Rattus norvegicus: one gene and its partner. The main gene of each other region encodes a partner of the protein of the gene in region 2 in a complex. Links are inferred from orthologs where the notes say so. Each region holds a gene or a part of one and is shown on either strand. Other genes may lie near its edges.

Evidence for each region.
Region 1: the proteins of Banf1 (region 2) and Emd are in contact, whole or in part, in a crystal structure (PDB 7NDY), measured with the Homo sapiens proteins. The link is inferred for Rattus norvegicus from reciprocal best matches to the Homo sapiens genes BANF1 and EMD. Residues at the interface, in NP_001137457.1 of Homo sapiens: Arg37, Phe39, Gln48, Val51, Leu52, Lys53, Asp55, Leu58, Glu61, Trp62, Asp65; in NP_000108.1 of Homo sapiens: Pro22, His23, Gly24, Pro25, Val27, Ser29, Thr30, Arg32, Leu33, Tyr34, Lys36, Lys37, Glu40.

Annotation. Positions count from the first base shown.
Region 1 is NC_086039.1:157,183,658-157,199,623, reverse strand, and holds Emd (emerin), read right to left. Parts: upstream 9,187-15,966; 5' UTR 9,080-9,186; coding exon 8,998-9,079; intron 8,906-8,997; exon of another isoform or gene 8,826-8,905; coding exon 8,718-8,825; intron 8,582-8,717; coding exon 8,504-8,581; intron 8,284-8,503; coding exon 8,147-8,283; intron 7,015-8,146; coding exon 6,968-7,014; intron 6,886-6,967; coding exon 6,555-6,885; 3' UTR 6,175-6,554; downstream 1-6,174. UniProt on the Homo sapiens protein: Stabilizes and promotes the formation of a nuclear actin cortical network. Stimulates actin polymerization in vitro by binding and stabilizing the pointed end of growing filaments. Inhibits beta-catenin activity by preventing its accumulation in the nucleus.
Region 2 is NC_086019.1:212,095,906-212,111,891, forward strand, and holds Banf1 (barrier-to-autointegration factor), read right to left. Parts: upstream 7,648-15,986; 5' UTR 7,567-7,647; exon of another isoform or gene 7,529-7,566; intron 7,395-7,528; exon of another isoform or gene 7,124-7,394; intron 6,937-7,123; 5' UTR 6,921-6,936; coding exon 6,798-6,920; intron 6,161-6,797; coding exon 6,014-6,160; 3' UTR 5,618-6,013; downstream 1-5,617. Other genes in the region: probable RNA-binding protein EIF1AD, read left to right, coding at 9,487-9,573, 9,720-9,828, 9,913-10,021, 10,187-10,234, 11,448-11,598. UniProt on the Homo sapiens protein: Non-specific DNA-binding protein that plays key roles in mitotic nuclear reassembly, chromatin organization, DNA damage response, gene expression and intrinsic immunity against foreign DNA.

The DNA of each region.
Region 1 (15,966 bases), on a different chromosome or scaffold from region 2:
TCTTGAGGGAATGAATAAACGAAAATTGGAGACATAATAAGGTCATTATTTCCTTACTCCATGCCAGAAAACATAAAATTGCCACATAGATAGCTGTTAAATTCAACCTACCTGCAACAGATTTGGGACATGAAGTGGTGGTGGACTCCCTTTGTTCCAAAGCTTGACAGCAATCCCTACCTATCCCTGAACTTTTCTGAACCTAGATCCCCTTCCTATGCTGTCCCTTCTCCCCTCACCACCTACTGCCTTAGAGCTTTGGGAGGTCAACCTTGATACTACCACAGGCCCCAGTATAGGTGTTATGTCCTATCTGCTTCTGCCTGGTTCCAAACATTAAGTCTCTCCTCAGTGTACCATGTAAGCAGTTGTTTCAGCAGGAGGCTGTCACCATGTCCTTCTAAGGTGCTATTGGGAAGTTACCTGCTTATTCTGATATCCCATATTCAGAACCAATGGCAGAACTTGTACATCCTTAGGAATGACTTATAAGGAAGTAGCATGCTCAACACTTAACACTGTGCAGCTAGGGCCAGACTTCAGTACCTAACATTGGAACTAAGATGGAAAGGAGCAGGAGGCAGTAACCTGGTTTACATGTACGATGATGGGTGCTGGTGAAGCAGTCAGTGGAAATGGTTTGCAACTAGAGAAACAGGCTGTGAGTGGTTAAAAAACAAAACAAAACCCACCTCATTCTTTTTTGGGAGTATTACACACAATCTCATTGAGTTGCCCAGGCTGGCTTCTACCTTGCCATCCCTATTTCCATATCTAGAGTGCTGGATTGCAGGTGTGTATCACACTGCCATGACTAGTTGGTTCATGTTTTTCTGCATTATTTCTTTCTTTTTAAAAGAGCATTGGTTCTCTGGATCATTTCTTTTTCTGAGACTGTCTCCCCAGTCACAGAATCACAGGCTGTTCTAGAACTACTAATATACCTGAGAATGATCTTGCACTTCCGATTCTGCTGTATTCATCTCTGGAGTGCTATACTTACCCCGTGAACCACTACACCCAGCTTATGTAGTACTGGGGGTTCAACCAAGAACATTATGCTTGCTATACAAGCATTCTATCTAGGCAAGTGCTCTACTACTGAACTAAACCCTCAACCCCATATTTACTTATTATTTTAAAATTTTATGAGGGCTGGAGAGATGACTCAGTGATTAAGAGCACTGGCTTCTCTTCCAGATTGTAAACATGGTAGTTTACAATCATCTATAATAGGCTCTGATGCCCTCTTCTGACATACAGATGTACATGCAAACAGAGTACTCATACATAATCACATTTTTAAAAACAGGGTCTCCCTATGTAGTTCTGCCTGTGCTGGAACTCACTCTGCAGACCATGCTGAACTCACAGAAATCTGCCTGCCTCTGCTTCCCATGTGCTGGGATTAAAGGCATGTTCCATCACTCTGTTATGGTTTGTATATGCTTGGCCCAAGGAGTGGCCCTAGGAGGTGTGGCCTTGTTGGAGTAGGTGTGCCACTGTGGGTGTGGGAAATAAGACCCTCACCCTAGCTGCCTAGAAGTCAGTCTTCCTCTAGCAGCCTTCAGATGAAGATGTAGAACTCTCAGCTCCTCCTGCACCATGCCTACCTGGACTCTGCCATGCTCCCACCTTGATGATAATGGACCAAACCTCTGAACCTGTAAGCCAGTCCCAATGAAATGTTGTCCTTATAAGAGTTGCCTTGGGGGGCTGGAGAGATGGCTCAGCGGTTAAGAGCACCCGACTGCTCTTTCAGAGGTCATTAGTTCAATTCCCAGCAACCACATGGTGGCTCACAACCATCTGTAAAGAGATCTGATGCCCTTTTCTGGTGTATCTGAAGACAGCTACAGTGTACTTATATATAATAAATAAATAAATCTATTAAAAAAAAGAGCACTTATTAAAAAAAAAAGAGTTGCCTTGGTCATGGTGTCTATTCACAGTAGTAAAATTAAGCGACTCCCATTATTTTAAACACTTAAATTTTTTTTGTGTGTGTGTTTTATCTGCATGTGCACTGGGTGTGTGCTTGGTACCCAAGCAGGTCAGAAGAGGATGTCCAGTTCCCTAAGATTAAAGATGTATACCACTATATCCACTATTTTTTAGGCAGTCTTGCTTTGTAGCTCTAGCTGGCCTGGAGCTCATATAGCCCAGACTAACCTTCCACTCTTTTAACAATCCTCCTTCCTCAGCTTCTCATGCTGGAATTACACATGTATATTACCAGCCTGTATCCTTTCCTTTTTATTTCAAATACACAAAACAATGTTATTAAACAGAGGTGGTTCATGACTATGATCTCAGTACTGGGGATGCAGAGGTAGTCAGTTCCAGGCTAGTTTAGGCTACATAGGAAGACCTTATTTTAAATAAACTTTTTTGGCAACAGGGTTCTTTGTGTAACCCTGAGTATCCTGGAACTTACTATGTAGATTATGCTGGTCTGAAAGTCAGAGATCCTCCTGCCTCTGCCTCCCGAGTGCTGGGATTAAAGGCTTGCACCACCACTGCCAGGCCTATATTATTTTTGTATGACCAAAATGTATGTGCACATCACATAGATGCAGATATTTATGAAGGGGATCACCTGGTACTGGAGATGTAAGACATGGATGCTGGGAACTGAACCTGTCTGAAGATTAGTAAGGGCTCTTAACCACTGAGTTGTTTCACCAGACCCCATATATTATTATTATTATTATTATTATTATTATTATTATTATTATTATTATTATTTTGGTTCTTTTTTTCGGAGCTGGGGACCGAACCCAGGGCCTTGCGCTTCCTAGGCAAGTGCTCTACCACTGAGCTAAATCCCCAACCCCGCATATATTATTTTTTGAAGCAGGGTTTTACTGTGTAATCCTTGCTGGCCTTGAATGCAGAGATCCACCTGCCCATGTTTCTCTAGTGCTGGGATTAAAAGTATGTGCCACCAAGCTTGGCCCTATGGTCACTTTAAAGTAACAGTAGGCAGAGGCGAGCAAATCTCAGAGTTCAAGGCCAGCCAGGTCTACAAAGTGGGTTCCAGAACAGCCAGGGTTACACAAAGAAATCCTGACTCAAAATAACAAACACAGATTTTAAAATATATTATTTGCCATGCCTTTCATATGGAGGTCAGAGGACGATTTACAGAGGTTGATTCTCATTATTAGGCTTGGTAATTTTCTTTACACATTTAGCCATCCTCATGTATTTTTTTAAATTAAAATAAAACTATGGCTAGGAGTAGTTTGACTTCATGTCTATGTATGTACCATGTGCATGCTGGGTACAGAAAGAAGCCAGAAGAGAACATTGGATCCCTGGAACTAGAGTCATAGTCAGTTGTGAGCCACCATGTGGTCCTGGGAGTATGAACTTAGATCTTCTACAAGAGAGAAAAATCACTCCTCTCTAGACACAAGATTTCTGATAGGTTATTCAATTACAAGTGGTCAGCCCTAAGTACATGAACATACAAACAATTCTAAATGGACTTAAGGGGAGTTACCAGGAAAAAGTATAATATATTCTATAAAATTTACAAAAAAATCTCAATTAATAAAACTATTTTGTTAATCCTGGCAGTGGTGGTACACACATTTAATTTCAGCATTTGGATCTCTGAGTTTTGAGCTCAAGGCCAACCTGATCTACATCTTCAATTCCAGCAGAACCACGGCTACCCAAAGAAAAACCCTGTCTGGAAAAACCCTAAAAATAAGCTGTGTTAAGAAGAGAGATAACAGGAGAAATGAGCTTTTAAAAATATGTAACTCTATCTTGGATTTCTTGTTGTTTTTGAGATTTTTTTTAAAAAAAGATTTATTTATTTATTTATTATATATAAGTACACTCTAGCTGTCTTCAGACACACCAGAAGAGGGCATTAGATCTCATTACAGATGGTTGTGAGCCACCATGTGGTAGCTGGGAATTGAACTCAGGACCTCTGGGAATTGAACTCAGGACCTCTGGAAGAGCGGTCAGTGCCTTTTAACCACTGAGCCATCTCTGCAGCCCAAGACTTTTTTTTTAAGGATTTTTTTCATATGTACAGCTATTCATTTTCATATGTTTATATAATACCCAACATGCATGTCTAGTACACACAGAAGTCAAAAGAGGGCATTAGCTCCCCTGAGAGTGGAGTTGCAGACTGTTTATGAACCACCATGTGAATATTGGGATCTAAACCTGGGTCCTCTGAAAGAGCAACATATTCTTTTTTTTTATGTGTGTGTGTGTGTGTGTGAGTGTGTGTATAGTGTAGCTGTCTTCAGACACACCAGAAGAGGGCATCAGATCCCATTACAGGTGGTTGTGAGCCACCATGTGGTTGCTGGGATTTGAACTCAGGACCTCTGGAAGAGCAGTCAGTGCTCTTAACCACTGAGCCATCTCTCCAGCCCCGAGCAACATATTCTTAACCACGGAGTTATTATCTCTGAAGCCCAGAATTTAATTTTTTAAATTTTCATATTGAGACACTGTCCTGGATCAGGGTACCCTTTAATTCAAAGAGATCATTCTGGGGCTGGAGAGATGGCTCAGCGGTTAAGAGCACCCGACTGCTCTTCCAGAGGTCATGAGTTCAATTCCCAGCAACCACATGGTGGCTCACAACCATCTGTAAAGAGATCTGATGCCCTCTTCTGGTGTATCTGAAGACAGCTACAGTGTACTTATATATAATAAATAAATAAATCTTTAAAAAAAAACAAAAAACAAAGAGATCATTCTGTTTCTGCTAAGTGCAGAGATTAAAGGTGTGTAGCACCATGCCTGGATTAAAAAAAAAAACCTTTTAATATTATATACTATGTATCCAAGATAGAAAAACTGTTGGGATAATCATTCACTGTGTGAAGGTGTGTATGTCCTTCCTCACCTGCCCAATGCACCTCCTGACTTGTTTAGAGGATAGGCAGGACTTCTGGGCAGAAAGGGATACTGTGGGAAAGTCAGAGGTGGAAGATTTGAGACATATGGGACTGAGGAGAGGTAATGAGCTACCTGACAGAATGTAGAAGTATGTTAAATTAAGAGCTGGGGGCTGGAGAGATGGCTCAGCAGTTAAGAGCACTGACTGCTCTCCCAGACGTCCTGAGTTCAATTCTTAGCAACCACATGGTGACTCACAACCATCTATAATGGGATCCGATGCCTTCTTCTGGTGTGTCCGAAGAGAGCGACAGTGTACTCATATAAATAAAATAATAGTAAATCTAAAAAAATTAAGAGCTAGTTGAGAGTGAGCAAGCTAAAGCCAAGCTTTCATAATAAAAGGTATCTATGTCATTATTGGGAACTGGTACCAAAGAGACAGCTTGGTTACATCTGGCAACCCAGGTCAGTGCCAGCTCCCAATAATGACAAAGACTTTTCATTAATATGAAAGCTTGGCCTTAACTTAGGCTTACCCCCAACTAGCTCTTATAACTTACATCAACCCATTTATACTATTCTACATTCTGCTACATGGCTCACAACTGATCCTCAGTACCAGTCACCTATTCTTCCTCCATGTCTAGCTGACCTCAGAGTCCCTCTCTATGCCCAGAAGTCCCTCGATTTAGCTCTTTATTAAACCAATCAGTAGGTACCTTAGGCAGATAAGGAAGGACAGAAACATTTTAACGCAGTATACAAAAAGATTATCTCCAAAGAAAATCTAAAAACTGAGCAAGAATAAACAGGCAAAGAATTAGAATAGCCATGGGTGCACTGTAGCCTTTGAATCTTATTATCATGCCACCAATCCCAGGAGCTGAACAATGTACTGGCATGATGCCTCATATCTTTTCTATCCTGGTAACCTCAGATGTTGGTGTTAGCCTCTCCTGACTAAAGTATCTGCATATATGATCATATATGCAGTTTTGCCTACATTTCCCATAGGCTTATCTACACATTTAATTACATGGTAGTTATTTTTCTAAGTGGTTATAATAAGTATTTCAGGGAGTTGGCCCAGAAATAAAACCCACAACTAAAACATAGACTTATCTATGGGTAGCATTTGATTCCTTCCCCAAGACCAAGCACAACCAAAGGGAAAAGCCACACTGATTATTGAGACCTAAAACCAAGCACCTGTGTGCCATGGCAGCCCAGCTCCCATCCCAGTAGGAAGAAACAACAAGGTAAAAATAAACATGTTTATTATTGTGTCCACGAAAGCAAAGCCAGGATGGCCTTGTTAATACCCCCTGAAAAGGTGACAACAAACAGGCATGCATGACAACTACCACTGCCACCACCAAGTTTTCCTCTAATGAAGTGAGGTCCTCCCCACCAGATCCCCATACCCTAAGAGTCAGAGGCAATAAGGCTAGGAGGCTCCAGAGGAAGGTACATACGGGCCTACTGGGCTGTGGAAAGCCAGCATTTGCTGCTTCCTTGGCAAGATGAGGTGGAGACAAGCACTGCCGTAGGCTAGGCCCTGTACCCTCTAACTAGAATACACAAAAAAGCCCCTACCCCCCACCCCCAGCAAACACTGCTAAGGCAGTCAGCCAAAACTCCTGTTAAGAGCTGCTCTGAAACCAATACCCTTAGGGATCCATCCAGAAGGGGTTGCCTTCTTCAGCTTGTATGGAATAGTAAACAAAGAGCAGAAAGGCAGCAAAGGCCAGGAAGAGTAACAGCTGGCCCCAGAGTGGGACCTGTCGATCCTGGCCCAGAGCAGCAGTAGGGGCCTGCTTTTCTGGTCGAATGGCACGTCGGGTAAGCCATGAAGAGGGAGAAGATGAAGAGGAGGACACAGAAGAGGTGGAGGATGTAGGATAATATGATAAGCCCAGGGAGCTCCTGGAGACATTGGAAATGGGGCGGTAGTGTGCGATGCTCTGGTAGGCACTGTCTCGGCCATAGATGGGGCGTTCCCTGTAGCAAAAGAAGGGGACAGGTAGGCAGGAGAGTCTGAGTGTCAAACTTGTCCCTGTCCCTACATGTGTTCACTACTCACCTATCCTTGCCTTCCTCTTCTGAAGAAGAGAAAATGTCATCACGCACCTGCCGGATAATTAGGATTAGAAATGGGAAAGAATGGTTTCCCCAAATGTCTCTGGCTAGCCTACTCTAGTCACATTGTAGGGGGCAGAAAATTGCCCCCCCATCATTCTGGGTCCATGCCCTCTTTAACTGTGGGGCCTTGCCACCCAGTTACAAACCTTGTCAACTTTGTCCCACCATCCTTTTATTCCCCAGGATTCTCAGGAGGCTTAAACCTACATCCTAGAGTACAGGTGCTGTTATATATGCTCAGATCATAAAAGTTTGTGGGCTGCAGAGATGCCTCAGTGGTTAAAAGCACCTATTGTTCTTCCTAGGTACCTAAGGTCATTTTCCAGCACTCACATCAGGCAGTTTACAACTACTTGCCATTCTAGCTCTAAGGGGAATCTAAGGGGAAATCTGACAATTCTGGCATCTGTAGGCACCAGCACTCATGCATACTACCCACAGACACATACATGTAGTGAGAATTCTTGAAATTTGGCTTAAGAAACACAGAAATATTATAAGAATGTTTTTATTTTAACCCTAGATGTGGGATATGGGGCTGTTTTACAGCAGCTATGATTTGCTTCATGCTTTTGAGTTGCAGATAGTTTCTGCAATTTTGTGGTATTTGGAATTCTGGGAATTTTTCAGAGGGTATGTAAATACTAGAGCCCCAATAGGTGAGGTTGGTTACAGTTTGCTAGTAGCTGGGGTCAAAGAAGACACAAGGAAGAAAGAAATTAGATTCAGGGATCTTTAGCTCTCTTTCTCTATCTAATGATTGGGGGTGAAAGGGTGAGGGGAACCCACAAACTAACAAAAAATTGGCTACACATAGGTATAATTAAAGTAATTAAATTTTTAAAAATGCCAAAACCCCAAAAACATTTGTGTGTGCTGCTGGATGCTGGAGATGAAACCATAGGTAAATGCTCTTCTACTGAGCTATATATGCTCATCCCCAAATCTAATAGTTTTGGAGGTTCCAACGTAGAACTTTTGAGCCAACAACTGTATGCTGATCCTAACCATACTTGAAGGCCTAAGATCCACTCTCTGCACCTAGTATCTCCTTGAACTATCCAAACCTAGAATTCCCTAAGGCTACATACACCCCAGGTATGCCTACCAGACAACTCACCTGGTGATGGAAGGTATCATCAGCATCTACAAGTGAGGTCCCTGGCCGGCGGAAGCTCTTGGACATGCCCACAGACTCGGGCTCCCCGTATGTCCTGGTAGTCAAATAGCTCTCCTCATAGTAGTCATCATTATAGTCTTGAGGAAGAAAACAGTGGTAGAGGAAAAAGTGGTGCCCCTTACCTGGCCTCTTGCCACCTTCCGCCCCCCCCCCCCAGTCTGTGTGTGTGCTGTGCCAGTTTCTTCTCTCTGAAGCCACTGAGAACTGGTACAAGGGGGTGAGGTCTGGAGTTTCACTGTGCCCAAATCCCTGAAGCATGGGATAAAGACATCAGTGCCCATCCCACACCTGCCTTACCCTTGCTCTGGTAAAGTAAGGCGTCCTCCTTTTTGGGCAGATCATACATGTCTGAGTCCACGGAGGCTGAATCCAAGTCTGCATGTGGAGGAGAAGGTACAGGACCTTCAATCTCCAGACTTCCCCCTACTCCCTCAGTAGCTTCAGCCACACCCTCCCTCCCTGCGCCTTGTGCCCCAAGCTGCTCTTTGGGGCTGTGCAGTTGGAGCCTCACCTGAGAACCGATAGGAGAATGAAGACGATGACGAGCTGGGGGGCGAAAGCCTCCTTCTCTGGGTCTCGTACTCGAAGATTTTCTTTTCGTAGAGCTTGCGAGTGGAGCCTGCCCAGACACAGGGTGCGAAGCGGTCAGCGGGTGCGAGCCGAGCACCCCAAGAGCACAAGGGAACACGGGGAGGGGACCTGAGGGAAGGAGGAGGTAGGAAGAACGCTCAGGGAGGAGCGCGGGAAAGCGGGGGACCGAGAGGTTCTGAGCGCCACCGGCTGCAGCATACCCACAATAGGCCCATGCGGGATGTTGTACTGGCGTAGCACTGCGGCCAGCTCAGTATCGGACAAAACCGCATAGTCGTCCATGGCAGACACGGCCGGCACCTGGAAGCGGTGTTGAACGCCAGGGGCGGCCGGCACCTATACACAGGGCCCAAGAAACAGACAGCTCGGAGCCTAGCAGAGGAAGCGCCAGCGCCTCAAGAGCGGCTGTGGGCGCGTCAAGCCGCCGTCACGTTTGCGTCACAGCCGCTGCTACGCAGGTTGCGCGCTCTCCTCAGGGCAGGCCCAAATCCGCCGGAGCGGCCAGTACAGACCAGTCTAGCAGGCTGGACTGGCAAATACAAACGTCACACTTGTGTGAGATTGACTCGAACAGGAAGAGGGAGGGGCTTGCGGGAGAGATTTTGGGGCAGCGGAGACTTCCTTTGAGAGCTAGGCAGCTGAGGGGCGGGGCTAGCTAGGCTATCTGAGGGTGCTAAAGCTCAACGTACTAGAGGGGCGACAAGTGTTCTCAGCGGACCAAAACTGGCTTGTGATTTCCCAAGCTGTGAAATCTTACACACCTTTGTGGCTTCATCCTGATTTCCAGTGCCTAGGATTCTCAGCCACAGTCTGGTCCACAGCAATGTGAAGAGTCCAATCCTGAGAGCAAACCTTTCCACAGCGCCTGACGCTGTTGCGAGCTCTTTGTGTGCACAAGTGCTGTCATACAGGACTCTCATCACCTACATAACCACCCACAGACCCCTGGCACTCGCTACCCATCTCCGCTGGTCTTCACAGGCTCCATGGCCCTGGCCTGCACACCTGTACAGGCCCATTCCCACCGTCCTCTCTGCCGCCTAGTTCCATCCGGGAGGAAATGGGGCTAGCACTGGGACAAGAGGCCGCCAACACTGTAGGACCAAGCAGCTTTCCAAAGGTCCAGGGCATGCCAATGGGCACAATCAGAAGGTGCCTGCTATGTGATGCATGTAGATGGGTACACCTTGTACCTGCCTAACTCACTGTTCCATCCACCTTGGGCCCTGAGGAGTTTTGAGGGGAGAAGTCTTCTTTGGCAGAGTCTCTAAGCTTGGTGTGACCTTAGAGGCCTAGACAGTGTGCAAAGCCTAGAGCAGTATCTCTCAACCTTCTTAATGCTGCCGACCCTTTAATACAGTTCCTCATATTGTGATGACCCCACCACCACCATAAAATTATTGTGTTGTACTTCATAAGTGTAATTTTGCTATTATAAATTATAAATATCTAATATGAAGGATATCTAATATGTGAGACCCAAAGGAATAGTATCCCAGAGGTTCCAAACTGCTGGCCTAAAGGTAAACCATGGGAATTGACGGAGGCTCACTAAGGATCTGGATCAGAGAAAGGTTGCCTTGAAGAGTGAGCATGACCATTATATTCTACGAAAAGTCATGTGGCTCTAGGTGTAAGCTGCCCTTTACTGGAGACATCTAGAAGAGGGGGTACATGCAGAAAAGGTGTGTGGGATGCCTGATCTCTTAAATCAGTGATTCTCAACCTTCCTAATGCTGTGACCCTTGTTGTGACCACAACGGTTACTCATGTTGTAGTGACTCCCAATCATAAAATTATTTTTGTTGCCACTTTATAATGATAATTTTTGCTATTCTTATGAGTCATAATGTAAATATTTTTGGAGATAGAGGTTTATTAGAGGGGTTACAACCCATGGGTTTTCTAAATGATAGTGATAGTGAATACTCTGGTCAGCTCTAGGCTGGCCTTGATGACACTTTAGTGAAGGTCACTGGCCAGTCCTCTATAGAAGTTTAAAGTAGGCAATGGTGAGGAGGTGGAGCCCAGTTTTGACCACATACAAAGTGCTTAATGAAGAAAAGTTGCTGTTGGATGGGTTTAAAAGACAGTGCCCTCTCTATCCCTGTAAATGGAGCTGTAAGAATCTCTGGAAAAGATACTGTGTTAAGGAAAGACAGGAGAAAGTTCTTGGGCAGGAGTGTGTGTGTGTGTCTGTGTGTGTGTGTGTGACAGAAAGACAGAGAGAGAGAGACAGACAGACAGACATAGACACACAGAGAAGCACAGAGAGACAGACATTCTCCCCATTAAGCAGCTGCTTCATGAATTTTTTTTATTTTTTATTTTTTTTAGTTTTGGCAAAATCAGATTTTCCAGCATCCCCCTCCCTCTGTGCTGGCCCCTCTCCCAGAGGCCTCTGCATACAGAATGAATGCTCAGTACTCCCCTCCCCCCATACAGAATCAAGTTGTTTCCTTATGAGGTCAAGGAATTTTAGGTTTGCCTTTTCCCTAAGGAACACCCTCTGTACCTGCCTCAGCACTCTGCTTCCTAATCCCCCTACTATCCTACTATAAGATCCTATCACAGATGTTACCAGGAAGCTGTACTGTGGTCTCGCACATACTGTCTGATGACCTAGACCTTACATCTAGCCTTATTGCAGTGTAGTTCTCTTCTCTATCATTCAGCAGAAGAATCAGGATCCCAGAGTTGAAAGAAGCTTTTGCAACAGCTTCAAGTTGAGTGATTCATGGAAATATTCTACCCAGGAAGTCATCTAGGTGGTGCAAGGCTGGCTTTATACTTCAATTAGAATTTGTCAGTGGGGCTAGAAGGATGTGCTAGGGCATTCTGTAGGTCTCTAGGAAATTCTGAGGAGTAGCCCTTGGCCAGTATGACTAATTGGGAAAAAAATCTTGGAAGCAACCCATTCTAAGAATAAGAAAATTGTTGGTTCTGTAATTCCACCCAGCACTCAGGATTTTGAGGTAGGAGAATTGAAAGTTTAAGGCCTGCATGTGCTTCAGGGTGAATTCAAGGCCACACTGGAAAACTTAGTGAGACTCTGTCTCAAAATCAAAAGTAAAATGGGAATTTGGGATGTAGTTATCTTGGTGGTAGAGCACTTGGCTGGCATGAAATAAATTTTAGATTCAACCTCCAGAAACTGCTATCTCCCCAAAGTTGTGAGAAAAGGTCTACATGAAAACGTTTCTTCAGGGTTGGGGATTTAGCTCAGTGGTAGAGTGCTTGCCTAGCAAGCACAAGGCCCTGGGTTCGGTCCCCAGCTCCGAAAAAAAAAAAAAAAAGAAAAAAAAAGAAAAAAGAAAACGTTTCTTCAGAACAAGAAGAATATGTTTTAAGAATATGCTTTTTTAAAAGCCAAGGAACTGTTAATCATAAGATTAATCTTCATAGATGATAGACTTGAAAGAAGTTGATGGCACTAACTTCTTGTGTTTTCAGTTTGTGTGCACTGAGAGGGTCAATAAAGAGAGTTCTAATGCAGTGTGTTGAGGGGGGGCATCCTGAAATACAACTATATATTCACCACCTCACTCATGCTCCTTCAATCTTCCTACCCATTGATCTGATTGCCATGTTTGAGGGTAAATGGATTTTTCCTCTGAAAGGACAGTCATTTTCATGAACTCTGGTGCAGCCACCTCATGAACCTGAAATCAGGCCACTAGAATGATAACTCACTGGCCTCCCTAGTAGAGGTTTTCCACTAGATAGAACAGTAAGAGACCTTAGTCCTATCTGGAGACCAGAATGTGAAATGTCATTGCCAGCAGAGCCAACAAAGTTAGCAAGGGATGCATGCTCCCTGGAGAAAACTCCAGCACTTTGCTCTTCAAGTTAAACCACAGATCACCAAATTGACTCTGCAAATGTGGTCAAACTCCCACACTCACTCTTTTTTCCATCTTTGTTGTTTGTTTGTTTGTTTGAGACAGGGTTTCTCCGTGTAGCCCTGGCTGTCCTGGAACTCACTCTGTAGACCAGGCTGACCTCAGATTCACAGAGATCCTCCTGCCTCTGCTTCCAGAGTGCTAGGATTAAAGGCGTGTGCCACCACTGCCCATTCTTTCCCATTCCTTCCTTCCTCCCCTTCTCTTCTTTCTTCCCTTGTAGCTTGCCATTCTTCCCCTTCCTCACTTTTTCTTCTTACTGTGTAACCTAGGTTGAGCTGTAACTTGGAATACTCTTGTCTCAGCTTCCAGAGTGCAAGGATTCCTTCTCTTTTTGATAATATAAAATAGGAAAAGAAATCAAACAGGACTGTTATTCCAGCACTTGGAAGGCAGAAATAAGGGTGATTTTCCACTTAAGGCCTAGTTTGGGTGTTACATAGTGATTTCCTAATCAGCCTGAGCGCTCTCTCTCTCTCTCTCTCTCTCTCTCTCTCTCTCTCTCTCTCTCTCACACACACACACACACACACACACACTGGAATATATTGTAGGTGGTAAGGAAAACCTCATTTGCACTATCTATTTCAGTTGTGTGTATATATGTTGGCATGATACAAATGTAATTCATATTGGGATTGTAGGGAAAAAATAAAATAATGAACTGTTGAAATGGCATTTTTTTATGTGGCCTTCCCCTAGGAAGTGATATTTGAGTTGAATCTGAAACTACCAGGAAATGGCCATGTAGAAGAGGAAGAGAGAGTTTGACAATATTAGTTAATGGCTATGCCCACCAAGCTCACAGATAGTTGGCTCTTTGTACCACATTCCACATTCCCAGGCTTTAGGACTGCACCTGATTGCTTTGAGAATTCAGTATATTTCTTCTGCTTGCTCCCAGGCACCTAACTGGGACCAAATCAATCCTAGCTGGGGCTAGGGGTAGGGGTGTCATCACATGGCTCAGGGTACCCGTTATCTCTCATCCCATGGAGCAAGATAGTACCAGTGTGGCCAACCCAGACTTGCTCAGAGACAGAAGGCTGTGACTGTGAGGAACTCCCCAGAATAGGTGGCTTTGGAACAGAGCCCCCTTTCCAGCCAAGAAACACTTGGCTCCCCTACACTCATCTAGTCCCTTAAAGGTTGGGCCTAAACATAGGGTTTGCAGACCCTGCTCTGGAGGTGAGCCTGGCAGCCTTCATAGAGTGCTGAGCTCATTCTGGGGGGCGGTGTCGCCAGTTAGCGGGGCACTGGAGCTCGTGGTGCGCTCAGAACCCCCTCCCTGCCCCCAGCTCCCGGGCGATTTTTACCAATTAAGGCTTTCTTGCCCGGCCGGGTCGGGCCGGGCCGGGCGCGGGGCGGGAGTGGGGCGGGGATGCGGCTAACAAGAAGGCGGGCAGCAGCGGCTCATTCGCGTGGAGGCGCGCGGCGCGCAGCGGACGCCAGTGGAGCTCTCAGGCTTCCGGCGCAGGCGTGGAGAGCTGGGCGCCACCCCGCGGTTGCAGGGACAGCAGGTGAGGGCTCTGTGGTCAGCTCCACGCCGAATAGTCCTCAGATAGTGGATGTGCGGCTCCTCAACTGGGTAGAATTCTGGAAAGCAGTCAGAGAGGCCAAGGCCAGGTGCAGGTTGGGTGTGGACTCAGGTCCCAGGCATCGCGTTGGTGTCCAGGGATAGCCTTGCATAGTTTGCCACAAACTTACTGTGTCTATGCCCAGGAATCTGGGAGCTCGAGCCCAAGGGAGGAGTTCTTGAAAAGGGGGCTGGTATCTGAGCGTTTGGCAGGAGATGGGTACAGGCATGGGCACCCATCAACTGGTTGGTCATTGTGTACCTTTCTGGGAAAGGTCTTTTGAGACTAGTACCCTGATTAGGATAAGGATGAGTGACAACTTGGAAAGACATTGTTCAGCCAATGTCAAGCATGGACACAAGAGAAGTGAAATAAGGGTGGATACAAGAGTTCCCTGTTGGGTTGGCCATGGGGAGCTGATTCCAGGGCTGTGAGGGGCATGGCCAGCTAGATTTTCAGTCTGGGTCCTGTCTCAGGTTGGTTCTGAATATGATGGTCATTGCCGGCCAGGACATAAGCATCAGCGTTCCTAGATCCCAAAGCCAGACTGGGGCCAGAAAAAGTGGGTGAAATCCACCCGCAGTCAATTGCAGCTCCAGACCGTCTGGCCAAGGTGAGAGCTCAGGAAATCACTGTACTTTTCTGCCACACCTGGATTTGCCTTAAGGGCACTGGTCTCACTTTGGGGATTTTCTGTTTCCTTTCCTCCTTGGCGCCCCCTGGCTACAGAGGTCTAGAAATAGCTCTTCAGGATCCCAATATAGCTGGTGGGCTTGTGCCTACAGTTCTTTGTGGGAGGGCCTGGCCTGGGGTCTGAGAGGAATGGGGTGGGGAGGTGGGCGGGGTGTGTCTAACATCCAAGAATCTACTCCAAATAAGGGAAAATATGAAAGAGTTGGATTTTGGCTTCCTGGGGCTGCCCCATCTGGGTCTTTGGGATGGAGCGACATCTGGTGGTGACACTTGTCCACACAGAATGTCCCCCCACCCAATTCCCTTTTTCTCCCTAAATAGCCAAATCATAGGGCTGGGAAACACAAGTTCTTTGTGCTCTCTCTGTGTTATGGTTCAATTTTCCTTGTTCTTTGTAAATTGATGAACTCAGGTGATCCACCCAAATGGCACTGAGTGGAAAATCATTTATTGATGCAATTCCATACATGGGGATTTGCTCTCCAATAGGTGAGGGGGACCAGAAATATTACCCTAATCGTGTCTTGAATAACATCACTGGAAGTTTCCATTTGGGTTACCCTTTCACAGTTCTGCCATCCTGTCCCCCAACTCAACCTTTGGCTCACTTATGAAAACAGAAAAGGAGAGGATATCTTCTTCTTTATGTAGGTGATGGGATGGGGTGGTGGTTCTCTACTGAAAATGTTATTTGACTGGTAATATTATAGACAATCTCAAGATGACCATGCTGAAAGGTGATGCCCATTATGATCAAAGTCCTATCATAGTGTCACCACAGGCAATGAAGACACTCCAGGCCATGGGAGAGTCAACCATATTTGGGCATGACATGTTAGCCAACCCAAGGCCTTCTTCAGCCACTGGTCTTTTTTTACTTATTAATTTTATGTGCATAGTTTTGCCTGCATTCATGTCTGTGTGAGGGTGTCAGATCCCCTGGACCTGAACTTATAGACAGTTGTAAGGGTGCTGGGAATTGAACCCAGGTTTTCTA
Region 2 (15,986 bases):
GTGTGCTGAGATCATCAGGGTACTGTTCCCCTTCAGAATGCTCCCTGGTACCCCACGCCCTAGCTAGTCTTAGGGTGTCAGCACTCTAACTGCGTTTCTGTCCTTTCGTCACACGTGTAAGGAGTCTGTGGCTGTGCTTAGGAGTGGGGAAGGTGGTCCCTGTCTACCTGAGATTCTACAGTGTTTGAGGATCCATATTGGAGAGCTGAGTCTCGTGTGCTCAGTAGTGCTTGGGCCAGGATGGCAGAGGTCATCAGACGTGGTACTGTGTGTGCTGTGTCATCTGTGGAGTTCTGAGAGTCACTGAGAGCAAAGTGAGGGTCCGAGTGGGTGAAGCACACAGAAGAAAGCAGTGTGAGAAGCAGAACTGGAGATTTATTGCAGCAGAGGTGGCCTGTGACCCTGAGGTGCCTCCACCATGCTTGTCCCCGTGGGGTGCTGCACACAGTCACGTTCTTTCAGGGGACCTCAGGAAGCCCAAAATTGCAGCACGGCTTCGGGGGAGAGGGAGGCACAGTGGACAAGGAGGGTGAGCTTGGCACCAGCCTCCTTCTCCCAGCAGTCAGCCCTGTGTGATCCCAAGTCCTTCCAGGAAACTTCCACCACAAGGGGAAGCTCCAGCCTCTCCTTCCTATACCCCATGCTGACCTACGGGCTGAGTCAGGAGAGGTCTAGCAAGGCCTCTACCTGACTATACGAGTTAAAATGACAAAGCCAGGGGGGCTCAGGCTTTGTGTGGGATGCGGCTATTATCTCTTATTATATTCCTATGGCTGGGGGCTGGTGGTGAGGTCCACGTGGTATCCAGAGATTCTGGTTTGCTTGTACTGTTATGCTCTCGTATCCAGGGTTAGGACATGGTGCTGGCCACCACCTGGCAACAAGGCAGGTTAGTCAGGGGCACTTGAGGTCCAGGCTGGTCCATGGCTGTCCCTTTAGTTTTTCCCATTGCCAGTTAAGAATAGTGTTCTGACCTAGGGACTCAGACATGGAGTAAGAGGGGACTCTTGCAGGGAGCTCCAGAGGGAACAGAGGGTTGGCCCTTGAGGGAAGCTGAAGTACCCATGCTTGCCTTCCTGAAGCAGGGGCAGACAAGTAGCGAGGGGCACTCACTATGCCTTCTGGCTTCCTACCTTCCTAGCAAGGAAAAATGAGTGATTTGGGACTGGGGTCAATCTTTCTTTAAAATTTAGGCAATTTTCGACCATGCATTTTTACATTCATATGACTTTTAAAAGATATTTATGTATAAAATTATTTTTTCCTTTGGAGACAGGGTTTGTCTATGTAACCCTGGCTGTCCTACAACTATGTAGAGAAGGCTGGTCTTAAACTCTCAGAGCTCCACCTGCCTCCTGAGTGCCGAGATTAAAGGTGTGCATCCCCATGCCTGACTCGAACTTTATTCCTGTTTTGGTTTTTTTGTTTTTGTTTTTGTTTTTGTTTTTTTTTTGTTGTTGTTGTTGTCCTTTTTTTTTTTCCTTTTTCTTTTTTTCGGAGCTGGGGACCGAACCCAGGGCCTTGCACTTGCTAGGCAAGCGCTCTACCACTGAGCTAAATCCCCAACCCCATTCCTGTTTTGCTTGCCCCTGCATCTGGCACCTCTGCAGGGCCATTACTGATGGCCTGACTGCACCCTGATTTGCGCTGTAGAGGTGTGAGTACAGAAGGAGGTGTAAGTGTTGTGGCCACCTACTGAGGGTACCTGGTACTCATCCCAGGGTGGGCCATACACTTTACCTAGACCCAGCCTTGAGTGAGCTCTCATCCATACTCACGTCAGAGAGTTTCTGACTCATTGCCTGATTGTTAGAGGCTCAAACCATGGTTTGTCTAGTTTTGTTGTTTTGGAGGACTGTCTTACTCCCAGAGCCCAGGCTGGTCTCCAGCTCCTCCTGCTTCTGCCTTCCAAATGCTGGGATTACAGGCACGCACTGCCACACGTAACACTCCTTGGGACGTTATCTTTTGGTTTTGCTTTTATCTTTTTTTTTTTTCTTTTTTCTTTTTTTCGGAGCTGGGGACCGAACTCAGGGCCTTGCGCTTCCTAGGCAAGCGCTCTACCACTGAGCTAAATCCCCAACCCTGCATTTATCTTTTTTTTTTTTTTTTTTTTTGGTTCTTTTTTTCGGAGCTGGGGACCGAACCCAGGGCCTTGCGCTTCCTAGGTAAGCGCTCTAACCGCTGAGCTAAATCCCCAGCCCCCCCTGCATTTATCTTATAGTTCTGAAATATCACCAGTACACAGAACAGGGGACATAACACTCGTGTTCATTTTCATTGAGAGGATACACGTGGAACGCAGGATATAACACGTGCTAGATAACCATCATTCTATTATTTAGTTACTTCTGAAACCCTGCTCAACTCAGTCAAGAATTTTACCTCTGAGACCAGAAAATGAAAATGTCACCTTCACTTACAAGCTCTTTCATCATCATCCTTCCTTCACCAAAGATTTGATATAGTGATTCATCTTTACTATTGACTTTTCTTTTTTAACCCTTTGGTGTCTGCTTTGGTGTCCACTATGTATACAAAGCAAGCACTAGACCAATGTTGCATCCCCAAACCTGTCGCACCCCCAAACCTGTCACTAATTTTTTGCAGTACGTGGTTCCTTGGTTTTCTTTCTAATTTAACTGTCTCTATAGGGATCCCTAAGCAAGAATTTACTTCTGAACACGAATGGAAGAAGTGTAGGACTGCAATCCCAGCACTCAGGAGCTTAAGGCAGAATCACCGTGAGCCTGAGGCCATCTGGGCTACAACGGTTAATACCAGGCTAGCCAGGCACACACAGCAAGACACAAACATAAAAATCCTGAGAGTAAAAAACTGTTTTGAGGGGTTGGGGATTTGGCTCAGTGGTAGAGCACTTGCCTAGCAAGCATAAGGCCCTGGGTTCGGTCCCCAGCTCCAAAAACAAAACAAAACAAAACAAAACAAAACAAAACAAACAAACAAACAAACAAAAAGGTTTTGAGATGAGTTTCTCTGTGTAGCTCTGGCTGTGCTGAAACTCATTCTGTAGACCAGGCTAGCTTGGACCTCAGAGATCTACCTGCCTCTGCCTCCTGAGTACTGGGATTAAAGGCATGCACCACCATGTGATTCTGTGTCCATAGTCCGGTGCTGAGATTCCTCTGAACTACTGCTCTGGCTCACTTTCCCTGCTGTGCAGTTGCAAGAATTTAGGCTCACACTAGGAAACACCCGCCTGTACTGCAGGGTCTCACAGACAGCTGTAAACATTTCCTAAGGTCCTAGTGCAAGTATTCAGTCTCTTACAGGCTCAGTCCTAAGAATGGAATTGATGGCTCATGGGGTGTGTCCGTTTTGCAAAATAATACTCAGCTGTTTTCCCAGAGTGCTCATAGCAATTTACTCCCACCAACTTGGGATCAGTTCCTGTTGTTCCATTTGCTTAACACTTGATGTTATCTGATGTGAGACCTTTGACCTTTGCCAGTCTGGTAGGCATGGGGGCACTTGTTTTTCTGATTTCTAATTGAAGTGAACCCATTCTATCCATGTGATACTTTAAAATCCTCCCTTGGGGCTGCCTCTTAGCTCCTCTACCAAGTTCCCTAAGATGCTGTCCGCTTTGCTTTTTTCAGTACTAGGGATTGAACCTGTGGGCTCACGAACGCTAGGCGTCCTACCACACAGCTATATGCCCAGCTGTGTCCCTGCGTGTGTATGTGCCTGTGTGCGGTGAGGGGTGCTCCTTTGCCTAATCATGTGGAGGCGAGAGTAGGATGCGAGGCATCCTTTATCATTCTCCACACCACTTGCTGCTTCAGCCACGGCCGGTCGGCCAGGAACTGCTTGGGTTCTCTCTGCCCTGCAACAGGGGTGATGGTACTGAAAGAACCTGCAACCAAGCCTGCTTTAGGTGGGTGCTATGGATTTGAATTGGGTCCTCTTGCTTTCATAGCAAGTGTGTAGTCCCTGAGCCATCTCCACAGACCATTCTCTTTAGGAGATAAAATCGCATGCACCCTGGCCTGGCCTCAACTTGCTTTGTAGCTAGGGATGACCTTGAACTTCAGATCCTCACTCATGTCTAATTAGTGAAGCATGTGCCACCACAAGCCCTGTACCAACTTAGTCAAGTCCCAGACACTTCCTTACCTGCAGCTCTGATAAGAATTCTGGGTGGGGATTTTATTGATAAGGATATCCTCACCCACGCTGTGTTCATCTCTTTACTCAAGTTTTCAATTAAAGTTTCTAGTTCTAATAGACAGACCATCTTTTATTTTCTCGAGGCAGGGTTTCTTTCTCTGTGTAGCCTTAGCTGCCCTGGAACTCACTATGTAGACCAGGCTGGTCTCAAACTCACAGAGAGATCCACCTGCCTCTACCTCCAAGTGCTGAGATTAAAGGCATGCACCATCACCACTAGGCAGAACAGAGACCATCTTATTAACCTTCCCTTTATTACGTGACCACGGAAATTGTCTCTCCTATGCCCAGTCTCGTAGTGTCATCACTGCCTTCCTGGAGAGCAGACATGCAGAGAAGCATCTCATCTGTACCACAAGCAAGTCATTGCTCAATGACTTTCTTTTTTTCTTTCTTTTTTTTTTTTTTAAGCTTTATTTGTTTTATCTAAGTACATGGTTGTTATCTTAAGACACACCGGAAGAGGGCATCGGATCCCATTACAGGTGGTTGTGAGCCACCATGTGGTTGCTAGGAATTAAACTCAGGACCTCTGGAAGAGCAGACAGCGGGTTTTTTTTGTTTGTTTTTTTTTTTGTTTTTTTTTCTTTTCTTTTTTTTGGAGCTGGGGACCGAACCCAGGGCCTTGAGCTTGCTAGGCAAGCGCTCTACCACTGAGCTAAATCCCCAACCCCGCAGACAGTGCTCTTAACCACTGAGCCATTTCTCCAGCCCACTCAATGACTTTCTGTTGGAGGAACAAACACCAAGCAGGACTCCTTGTTACAGCAGTACCCAGTCCTCTCAACCCTCATCTATCTGAAGCTCAGAAAGCATAGCATGGGTTACATGACATAGGAACACAGGCTCTCCAACACTGAGCTCCACTGGCTGTTTTCTTGCAAGTTCAAAGGCAAATTAACTTTTCTGAACCCCAAATCTCTTCACCATTCCAAAATAAAAAATTTAAGAAACATAAAGATACTAGTTTCAGGGGTGGTTCACAGTATAAGCCTGAAAACATTAGAACTGGAACTCATTTTTCAAGTTTAACCATTTCCTTCCATTTCTACAATAGCCGGGCAAACAGCAAAAGCCCTACCCATTCTTCCCAGAGGCTAAAAGAGCACATGGTGTGATGACTGGCAGGTGAACTCTTCCCCACATCCTATTCACCCACTTCCTGGTTCCTTTGACTCCCACTGACTTTTCCACCAGGTGCCGCCTAGACTGTTGACTTGACATCTGGAAGCCTATAGCCTACATGGCTCCCAGGAAGAAAAAAAAAGTCAACCCACACTCTCTCCCACATTATTTAGGAATTGGGACACCCAGGGTGCCTGCCCAAGGCCCACATGGCTAGGGTGGCTCCCTCGTGGGAGGGGAAATGGAAGGACCCAGTTTCGGTGTGCACCGTGTTCAGCAATGGAACACAACCCAGCCCGTCTGCTCTCTGACACAGACCAACAAGTATGAAGGCCACTAGCTTTATTAATTTAAAAATCTTTTATAAAGACAGTGACTGTTTTTGCCAAAAAAAAGGAGTCAAAGGGCATCCAACAGATGGTGAGGGAGAAGGAGGCAGTAATCCATTCAGGAAGGCTGGGAACTGCTGCCATGGAACTGTAGGGGGAGGGGAAGGGGAAGGCATGCGAGGGCAAGAAACCCAGAAAGGTTGAAATGCTGGGGGGAGAGAACTCCCAAAAGACCCTGGAGTACATAGGAGATGAGGGTGACAACAGCAATCTTTTCCTTCGTGGAGGACAGGGAGGCACCCTGCCCTGCTGCAGACTCTGGAGATTCTATGCTGTGGCTAGGGGGGCTGAGGGGTCCCCAGAGAACATTACAAGAAGGCATCACACCATTCTCGAAGGCACCCAAAGCAGTCCCGGGACTGCTTGGCATTGGCACCACATGTGTCTTTTAGCCATTCTCGAAAGAGGTCTTCATCTTTCTTTAGTACCAGAAACTGGCCAAGGACCACATACGCCTGCAAAACAGAAAAGGGTATATAGTTAGCTGAGTGTCTTATGGGCTAAAAGCAACAAGCCTACACTGATACCACTCTGAGGGTTAACTGGTAAATATTTGAGAAGGCAAGGCCATTTTTGTTTTGGCTGTTTTAAGACAGGGTTTATTCCTTTGTTGCCAGGGCTAACATTAAATTCCACGGGAATCCTCTTACCTCAACTTCCTAACTGCAGGGGTCATAAGCACAACCTGCTGTGCCTAGTTTCATTTTTGTGACATTTAAAACACACAAAAGGGCAGGGCACAATGGGACACACCTTTAATCCTAGCACTGAGAAGCCCTGTCTCAAAAAAAAAAACAAGGGGTTGGGGATTTAGCTCAGTGGTAGAGCGCTTGCCTAGCAAGCGCAAGGCCCTGGGTTCGGTCCCCAGCTCTGAAAAAAAAAAATTTAAAAAAAAATTTAAAGCAAAAAAACAAAACAAAACATGAAAATGAAGGAAGTGCCTGTCTCCCCAGGTACACCCAAAACACTTCAAACTATGTATTTCTGTCCTCACCCTCCCCATACCCCTACTCTCCTTCACTCCCAATTTGCTTGGTAACATCTGTTGCCAACCTTCACTCCTACTCCCTGGCATTTGCAGCCACCCCACACCTTGTCAAAGCCCCTTTCCTCCAGCCTCTTGCCCAGGGCATCACCAATCCCGGCCAGGCTCCCCACTGGCTTTTCCCCCATGGGCTCTGCCACGAAGTCTCGGTGCTTTTGAGAGGTTGTCATCTTGATCAGGATTAACCTGGGAATCACAAAAAAAAAAAAAAAAAAAAAAAGCTGGTTAGGGCTGAAGACCGCAACTCCAAAGGGCAGCTACTGTGGCTGCTTCCTTAAGTCCCCTCATTAAACTGGGGACCAGGGAAGGTTTCCCTCCCTCCCCCACTATTCAGAAATTCCCACTTTTGTGGGTCCTGGGTTTGGGTACTGACCCGATCGATATACTAGCTTGCACTAACAGGTGGTGCACGTAAGGCAATCTATAGATTCCCAGACTCAGTAGCCAAGGCCCACCCTGAAGCTCTCTCGGTGACCTTGGCTGGACAGACACTGACCCCGTTAGGAACTACCACGTGGTAAGAATAGCAAGAGGCTCTCGCTACACTCGCCGCCCTCCAGAGGCGGACAAGCGCGGCACACTCGCTCGAGGGGCCCGCCTCCTCTACGCCTCTCTGGTCCCGCAGGCCCCGCCCCAAGCGCGCCGCCCCGCCTCCTCCACGCGCCACCGCCCCTACATGCCGCGCACCGCCCCTCCCACAGACTCTGGCTGCTCCACTGCAAAGGCGCGCTTCTGCGATGGACTCCTCTCCCTCCCGGCTCTGCGCGCCGCCACTAACCCTCCAGCCGGAGCCCCACTTCGCTTTCTCACGCTCACCAGCAGCTCCGGCTCTGGTAACGGCTCCTCGCGCCACTCAGCTACTCCCGCCGATACCTCAAGCAGCTAGAACGTTCTTCGACTTCCGCTTCCGGGTCGTTTTGTGCGCGGCCTTCAAAATAATCCCCAAATTGGGCACGTCTAGCCCCCTTGAGTCATAGAGTTGAAGCGCAATCGCTAGCCGCCACGCCCACGGTAGTCGCTGTTTTCCGGTCCCTTTCAGGAAGCCACGCTGCTTTCGATGGATTTTGTTTCTCCGGCGGCCCTTCCCGTCTGTGGGATTGACGCTTCCGAGGAGAATACTTTTTCCTGTCTAGCACCTGGAACTTGGGTTTGTCTGACTTGATGGAGGGAAGAGTTAAAGGAACGGACAAAGAGGGGGCGGGGCATCCGGAGGGCCTCTGAGAACCCCGGAAGTGCAATTCACGGCGCGGTTTCCTCAGAGTCAGGTTTATCACCTCAAACCTGCAGACGGAAGGTAGGAACACCGGAGGTTTGAGACCGAGCGTCCAAACCGGCGCTACCGTCGTCACCACCTGCAAGTCGCATTTCTTTGCTTTTTGTTGACTCACTCTTGAGGTGAGTCGTGGACGAGCTGCTTTCACCGTCAACCTGGAAAACGGAGCTTGCTTGTGTAGCGCCGAGCGGGTGAGTGCTGTGGGTGGTTCTTTGCTCGAAGGGTCTTTCTGCTTGAAGCGTCGTGATGGTCGCCGAGTCAGTCTATGCCTGTGATGTGTTAGGAGGTCCAGCGTTGTATGGCTCTCCTAGACTTGAGAGATGTTCACGCATGTGGAGGAACGTAGTTTGTCTTAAACTTCTCCCAGAAAGGTTGTCAGAGCGATCGGCCTGGGAGGTGCGTGTGGTTTCATCATCACAACAGTACTTAGAAGTAGAACTCATAGGACTTCCCCTGTGCTGGGTGTTTTTCCATGATCTCATTTTATTTACTTATTTCTTGTTTGTTATTGAGAGGACATCTCACTACGTAGACCAGGCCGGCCCCGGGCTCCACAAAGATTCATCTGCTTCAGCCTCCATGGATTGGGATTAGAATGTTGAGATTTAATGGTCGAGCCACCCTTACATCTCAACCGATACGATAAAACATGTGTTTCATGGTTTGGTTTGGCTTGGTTGGTTTTCAAGATTTGTTTTTAAGATGGGTGGTGTTGCAAGTGCTCTTGGAAGACAGAAGTGGGCGTTGGATTCCCTAGAATTGGAGTTAAAGGTGGTTGTGGACCATCGACGTGGGTGTTGGCTCGTAAAACATCTCTCTAGTCCTTAAAGATCATGCCTGTTTGTTTTTGGTTTAAGGTCTCCCTATGTAGACTAGGTTGGCCTAGGACCCAACAAATACCTGGCTACCTCTCCCTCCCAAGTGCTAGGAATAAAGATGTACACCAACACCTGACTAAGTTTGTGGTTTAATGATTTTATTCATTTTTTAATTTATTTTATGTATGCGAATACACTAACCTGTCCTTCAGACACACCAGAAGAGGACATCAGAGCTCATTTCAGATGGTTGTGAGCCACCATATGGTTGCTGGGAATTGAACTCAGGTCCTCTGGAAGAGCAGTCAGTGTTCTTAACCACTGAGCCATCTCTCCAGCCCGATTTTATTCGTTTTTTTATGTATACCAGTGTTTTTACCTGCATGTGTGTCTCCAAAAGAGGGTGTTGACTCCTCTGTGACTGGAATAGGGGAAGTGAATTCTGAGTGCTGGGAACCTGGTTCTGCCAGAGCAGCAAGTCCTGCAGTCCCCTCAAGTGCACGTTTTTAACAGGGCAAGGTGGCACTTTTTCGTATAAGGCTGCTTCTCTTGAAAGCAGTCCTGGCTTCTAAGACTGGCATCCAAATAATTCTGGAAGAAGAGCTGACAGTCCGTGCACCCTAACAACCCTGGACAATAACCAGCATGTCTCAGGCCAGCAAGAGGAAGCATGTGGTGCAGGAAGTGCTGGGGGAGCACATGGTGCCTTCTGACCAACAGCAGATAGTGAAAGTGAGTGATCCTGGTCTCCAGGTTTCTGTCCTCCCGATAGATACTCCCATTGGACCCCTGGGGTGTGGAAAGGGAGGGCTCAATGTAGTTGAAGAATGCTTGATTTAACTGATGATGTGGCTGGTTCATGCTCTTTCCTGGACCAGGTCCTCAGGACTCCTGGGAACAATCTGCATGAAGTAGAGACAGCACAAGGGCAGCGCTTCCTGGTGAGCATGCCCTCCAAATACCGCAAGAACATCTGGATCAAGAGAGGTTAGAAACATCCCTCTACAGTCAGAACCATGGCCTTGATTTCCCCTCCACAGCAGGAGTGGCTTTATCCTTTATCACCTACAGGGGACTTCCTCATTGTTGACCCTATTGAAGAAGGAGAAAAAGTGAAGGCTGAGATCTCTTTTGTGCTCTGCAAGAACCATGTCCGCTCTCTACAGAAGGAGGGTCACTGGTAGGATGGTCTTAATTACTTGTCCTCTGGCTTCTGGGGATAGTATCATCTTAGCTAGGGAATTGGGGAGAGAAGGTTATGCCATTCCAAGAGGGACGTTTTGAAACAGCTGTTTCATTGAAAGTTTTCTCTTTGCTCTCTAACCTGGCTCTTCTCTTGTCACAGGCCTGAGGCCTTTTCTGAGGTAGCTGAGAAACAAAACAATGTGAACAGGTAAGGAGCGAGCCCCCAGAACAAGAAGTACAAGTTCACACCTTGGCGCCTCAAGGAGAAACAGGATCTTGCTCTTTTCTCCTGTTGAGAACTATAGCACACATAATAGGATAGGTAGTTATGAGTGTGGCTAAAAGGTCACTTTTTTTCTTTTTTTCGGAGCTGGGGACCAAACCCAGGGCCTTGCGCTTGCTAGGCAAGCGCTCTACCACTGAGCTAAATCCCCAACCCAAGAGGTCACATGTTAAAATGCTAGCTTTGCTACTTAATAGACAGGTGAGTTTAGATGCTTTTTTTTTTTTTTAAGTATCTTAAGGAGGTTTCTAACTGGATGTGGCTGGACATCCCTGCAATTCTAGTACTCAACAAGGTAGTACTAGATCAGGAGTTTGAGGCCAGAATGGTCTACTCATAACAGGTTCAAAGCCAGCCTGAGGTATAGGAAACTTTTTCTCAGAAACAAACGAGTTCATATAAGAGACGGGATTACACAGAGAGTAAGATTGCTTAGTGCAGCAGTCCTCACCTGTGGGTTGAGACGCCTTTGAGGGTCGCATGTCAGATATTTAAATTATTATTCATAACAGCAAAATTACAGTTATAAAGGAGTAATAATAATTTTATGGTTGGGTTCACTACAGCATGAAGAACTGTGAAAGTGTCGCAGCATTGGGAAGCTGTTAGTACATCAGCTGTTAGGAAATGTGAGCTATGTGTCAGTAATGCTAGTGGGGTCGCTTCCTCACTCAAATTGATGAGGGGCTGGGTGGGAGGTAATCCCGAGTCTATTCTTTTTGACTGGGTTTCCCTATTTGCTCTGTTTTTCTAGAAGAATCCTCTCCCAGAATTTTTTGCTTTGTCTCCTTTATTCTTTTAAATCTTTTTTTTTTCTTTTCTTTTTTTCGGAGGTGGAGACCGAACCCAGGGCCTTGCGCTTGCTAGGCAAGCACTCTACCACTGAGCTAAATCCCCAACCCCTGTCTCCTTTATTCTTGAGTCAGGATCTCATGTAGCCCAGGCTGTCCTCAGACTTAGTCTTCTGCTTTCGCTTCCTAAATGCCAGGCATGTGCCACTGCATAAGGGTTTGGGGCTCTTGGATTTTCAGAAACCTGTTAGATTCTGATTGTTTAGTTGATGGTCCTGGTTTTTGGGACTTGAGATTATAGCTCTGGTTTCCCCAGAAGATGTTACTGTTCTGTCCTGCTCCCACAGAGAGAGTCAGCCGGAACTCCCCGCTGAGCCACAGCTGTCAGGAGAAGGGTCAGGTTCTGAAGATGATTCTGACCTCTTTGTCAACACCAATCACAGACAGTATCATGAGAGTGAGGAGGAGAGTGAAGAAGAAGAGGAGGAGGCGGCCTGAGCCCCAGGACCCACTTCTCTACTTGCTCAGGGACTACCCCTTGGCTTTTCTGGGTTTGGACATTCCCAGGGTGCCCTGCAGATCTTTTCCTTTGGATGGGGACAAAGCATGGCCCCTTTCTGAACTGACATAAAAAGAATTAAACCCCTGGTGGGTAGTGACTTACACTGGTGTCCGTGTGGCTCTCTGTAGAGGGAAGCTCATGGTGAAATGAAGTCTCTTCTATGGTGGAAGCCTTGGTCACGTGTGGGTAGAATGGGCAGGAAATGATTTGTCTGAACTCTGCTGCATTTATCTGGTTCACAGTACCTCTCTGGACACTTGATACCTCACCCTGTGCTGTGCCTTACTGGGTCTTCCTTTATACCTGCTTATATTCAGCAGCTATTCCAATAGTTAAGCGTGCAGTCTAGGACCTCGGACCCACTTGCCTCTTAAGCACAGCTCAGGACAAACTCCTGGTGCCTTGTTATCCCTTACTGCAATAGTGCTTACTGCCTGCCGCTATGCAAACAAGCCTGCATCCCATCTCTCTTCACCTTCGTCACCTGTCATTCCCAGAACGTGTCTGTGGTCAGGATACCTCCTTACCATCTCCTGATTTTCTTTGACTTTCTCTAATTTCTTCAGGGTATTAATTTCCTGTAATCTTTTTTTTTTTGAAGCTGGGGACCGAACCCAGGGCCTTGTGCTTGCAAGGCAAGCGCTCTACCACTGAGCTAAATCCCCAACCCCAATTTCCTGTAATCTTGAGGTTGTCTCTAACCCAGGTTTGCTTCAAAATCACTGTGTAGCCTAGGCTAACCAACTCAGTGGCTGTCCTGCCTCACAGGCATGAACCTGTGGGGCTACTAACCTTTTGTTAGAGGCTATTGTAATGTCTTTACCCCTTGTACCTCAGCATCAAAAGACTTCTTGTGGTGACTCAGACCTTTGCTCATGACTACCTCTGTCCATTTACTTACTCCCATTGTTTTAGTTCAAATATCCTTCAGTAGCCCAGGTACTCACTAAACTGTGCAAGCTTCTGTGAACTGTGGCCTCACTTATTGGGAGGCTTCTGCTTCTGGCTATACCCTGCTAGCATTAATCCTGCCCCTGCTAAATCCTATTGAAACTGACCTCTCAGCTTAGTCTTGCCCCTACTGGTCATTCATCCCTCAGTGGAACTATTCAACCCTGTTGCGTACTCCTAATGTGCTTGTGTGTATGTATTTTCGTTGAAAACTTGTACTAATGGAACTTCTACTTTGGAGCCTTCCTTTTGTCTTCTGACGAATTTTGTTTTTTTGGAGGGGGGCTGTTGTGGGTAGTTGGTTGAGCTTGGAGGCATGCATTAGCTTCATAGAATCTCATTTCTGAGCAGGAAATCCTGCAATCACACCCTCTCTGACTCTCATTTATGTTCGTCATGTTTGCCTTTTGTGGTAGTAAATGTATACTTGGGTATACACATGTATAAAATATAGGTGTATATACATGGAGAAATAAACCATATGGGTTAAAGAGAAACCTATCTTTAACTTCTCTGAATTTTTTTTTTATGAAGAGTTCTTTTTTGTTTTTGTTTAGTACTGAGTATTGAACCTCAGGCCTTGGGCACATGGTGTGTTAGACTGGTGTTCTTACCGAGCTAAATCCACATTAGGAGCTCTGTCATTAGGAGAAATAACTTCCTAACTAGAGAAAGCCATTTGCCCCTAACTCATTCATTAAAGGGCTCATTCTTTTCTCATTGATACTACCTTTTAAATTTTTCAGATCAGACAGACATGTTTAGTGCACACCTTTAATCTCAACCCCAGTACTTGGGAGGCAAAGGCAGGCAGATCTCTTGAGTTCTCGGTTAACCAGAGCTATAGAGTCATTCTGTTAGCAGGCATTATGGCACATGCCTTTAAGAGAAGTGTGGAGGCAGAGGCACAATTATCTCCTAAGGAATTTGAGGCTAGCCTGCTCTACATAGTTTTATGTCCTCACCTCCACCCCCCAAAAATAATCCTAACCAGGTGTGGCACCTGTCTGTAATCCTACCTGGGAAGGTGAAGGCAGAGGATGAAGACATTGCCACATCTGAACTACAAGAGATGTCTAAAAACAGATTCCTACACAAGTGTCTTTTCAGTATTCTAAATCTGCCCAATGGGTCTTTGTATTTAGACTTCATATTGTAGTGCACTTGATACATCATAGTTCCCTGACTCCATCACCCTGAGACTATCTCAGATTTCCTCACTACTTAGAATCAACTTGATTGATTTCATTTAAAAGCCTTGGTTGACCAGTGAAATGGCTTGGTAGGTGCACACTTGCTGCCAAACCTGAGGAACTTGTTCAAACGCCAGGATCCAAATGGTGGAAGAAGAGAACCAACCCCTGAAAGTTGTTTTCTGACGTCCACAACAGTTCCTAGACACTTCCTCCTACACACCCATCTCCCCAGTTCTGAGATAATAACCCTGCACCACTGTCTTAGGGTTTTATTGTAGTGAAGAGACACCATGGCCAAGGCAACTCTTAGAAAGGAGAACTTCATTGGAGCTGGCTGTTTCAATTCAGTCCATTATCATCATGGCAGGAAGCATCGCATGCAGGCAGGCATGGTGCTAGAAAGGAGCAGAGTTCTATATCTTTTTTTTCCTTTTTTTTTATAAGATTTATTTGTTATATATAAGTACACTGTAGCTGTTTTTTCAGAGACACCAGAAGAGGGCATCGGATCCCATTAGAGATGGTTGTGAGCCACCATGTGGTTGCTGGGAATCGAACTCAGGACCTCTGGAAGAGCAGTCAGTGCTCTTAACCACTGAGCCATCTCTCCAGCCCCTCCCCCCCCAGAGTTCTATATCTTTTTTTTTTTTTTTTTTTTGGTTTTTTTTTTTCGGAGCTGGGGACCGAACCCAGGGCCTTGCGCTTCCTAGGTAAGCGCTCTACCACTGAGCTAAATCCCCAGCCCCCAGAGTTCTATATCTTGATCCAAAGGCAGCAAAAGGAAATTGTGCCACACTGGGCATAGCTTGATCACAGGAGACTGCCTCCACAGTGACACACTTTCTCCAATAAGTCCACACCTCCTAATAGTGCCACTTCCTGTAGCCAAGCATTCAAACACATGAGTCTTATGAGGCCCGTTCCTATTCAAACCACAACCACGTTACCCTGTTTGTGAGTGCTGGGAATCTTAACTCAAGACTGTACATGCTAGGTAGGCAAGCACTCTGCCAACTAGTATAGGGTTTTTTTTTTTAATCTTTTGTTATTTTGGGTTTTTTGAGACAAGGTCTCTACACAGCCCTGGCTTTCCTGAAATTCTCTATGTAGACCAGGTTAGCCTAGAACTCACCCTATCCTGCCTCTTGAGTATTGGGATCAAGGTTGTTATTTGGTGTTTTTACTATTTTTTTAATTAGGTGTGTTTGTGTGTGTCTGTGCATGTGAGTGCTGTCAGTCTAGAAGACGATGTCAGCTCCCCTGGTGATGTGGTTACAACAATGGTGAGCTGTGTGGAGTGGGCGCTGGGGACAGAGAGACAGAACTCAAGTCTTCTGCAAGGGTGGCAGCACTCCTCACTACCAAGCCATCTCTACAACCCCTCTACTTTTTCATTTTTAGGTTTATTATTTTAAATCAGAGGGAGAGGGAGGTGGGGAGGGAGAGAGAGGGAGGGAGAGAGAGAGAGGGAGATAACAGTGCCCAAGGAGACCAGAGCAGAACCTGATGTACAGGCGGGGGATCAAACTCAAGTCCTCACAAGAGCAGTGTGTTCTGAGCCCCTTTATCTCCTTTTTTGACATGTTACCTTTTTGATCCAAAATACTTATGTTTGTACTTTTTCCAGAAAATTTTTCTCAATTATCTCTTCAGATGTTTTGTATTTCTCTCTAGAATTCCCATTATCTGGATAGCATTATCTTCTGGGCTTAATGTCTCTCAAATTTTCAAATTTTCTTTTGCATTTTCTGTTTTCATCAGCCCTTCCTCAGAACATTTTCTGGTCTGATTCTTTTTTTTTTTTTTTTTTTTTTTTGGTTCTTTTTTTTTTCCGGAGCTGGGGACCGAACCCAGGGCCTTGTGCTTCCTAGGTAAGCGCTCTACCACTGAGCTAAATCCCCAGCCCCTCTGGTCTGATTCTAAGTCACTATTCTCTTCGTAAACTGTAGCCCCACTGTGGTAGATCCTGTGTGTGTGTGTGTGTGCGTGTGCGTGTGTGCGAGTGCGCGTGCACACACACATGTAGAAGTCATGAATTCCAGACATCAAATTCAGGTTGTCAGGCTTGTGGGTCATGCACTTTACCCACTGAGACTTCTTGCCAGCCCTGTTGTGGTTTTGTTTTTTGTTTTGTTTTGTTTTGATACAAGGACTTGCTGTATAGCCCTGCCTGGCTT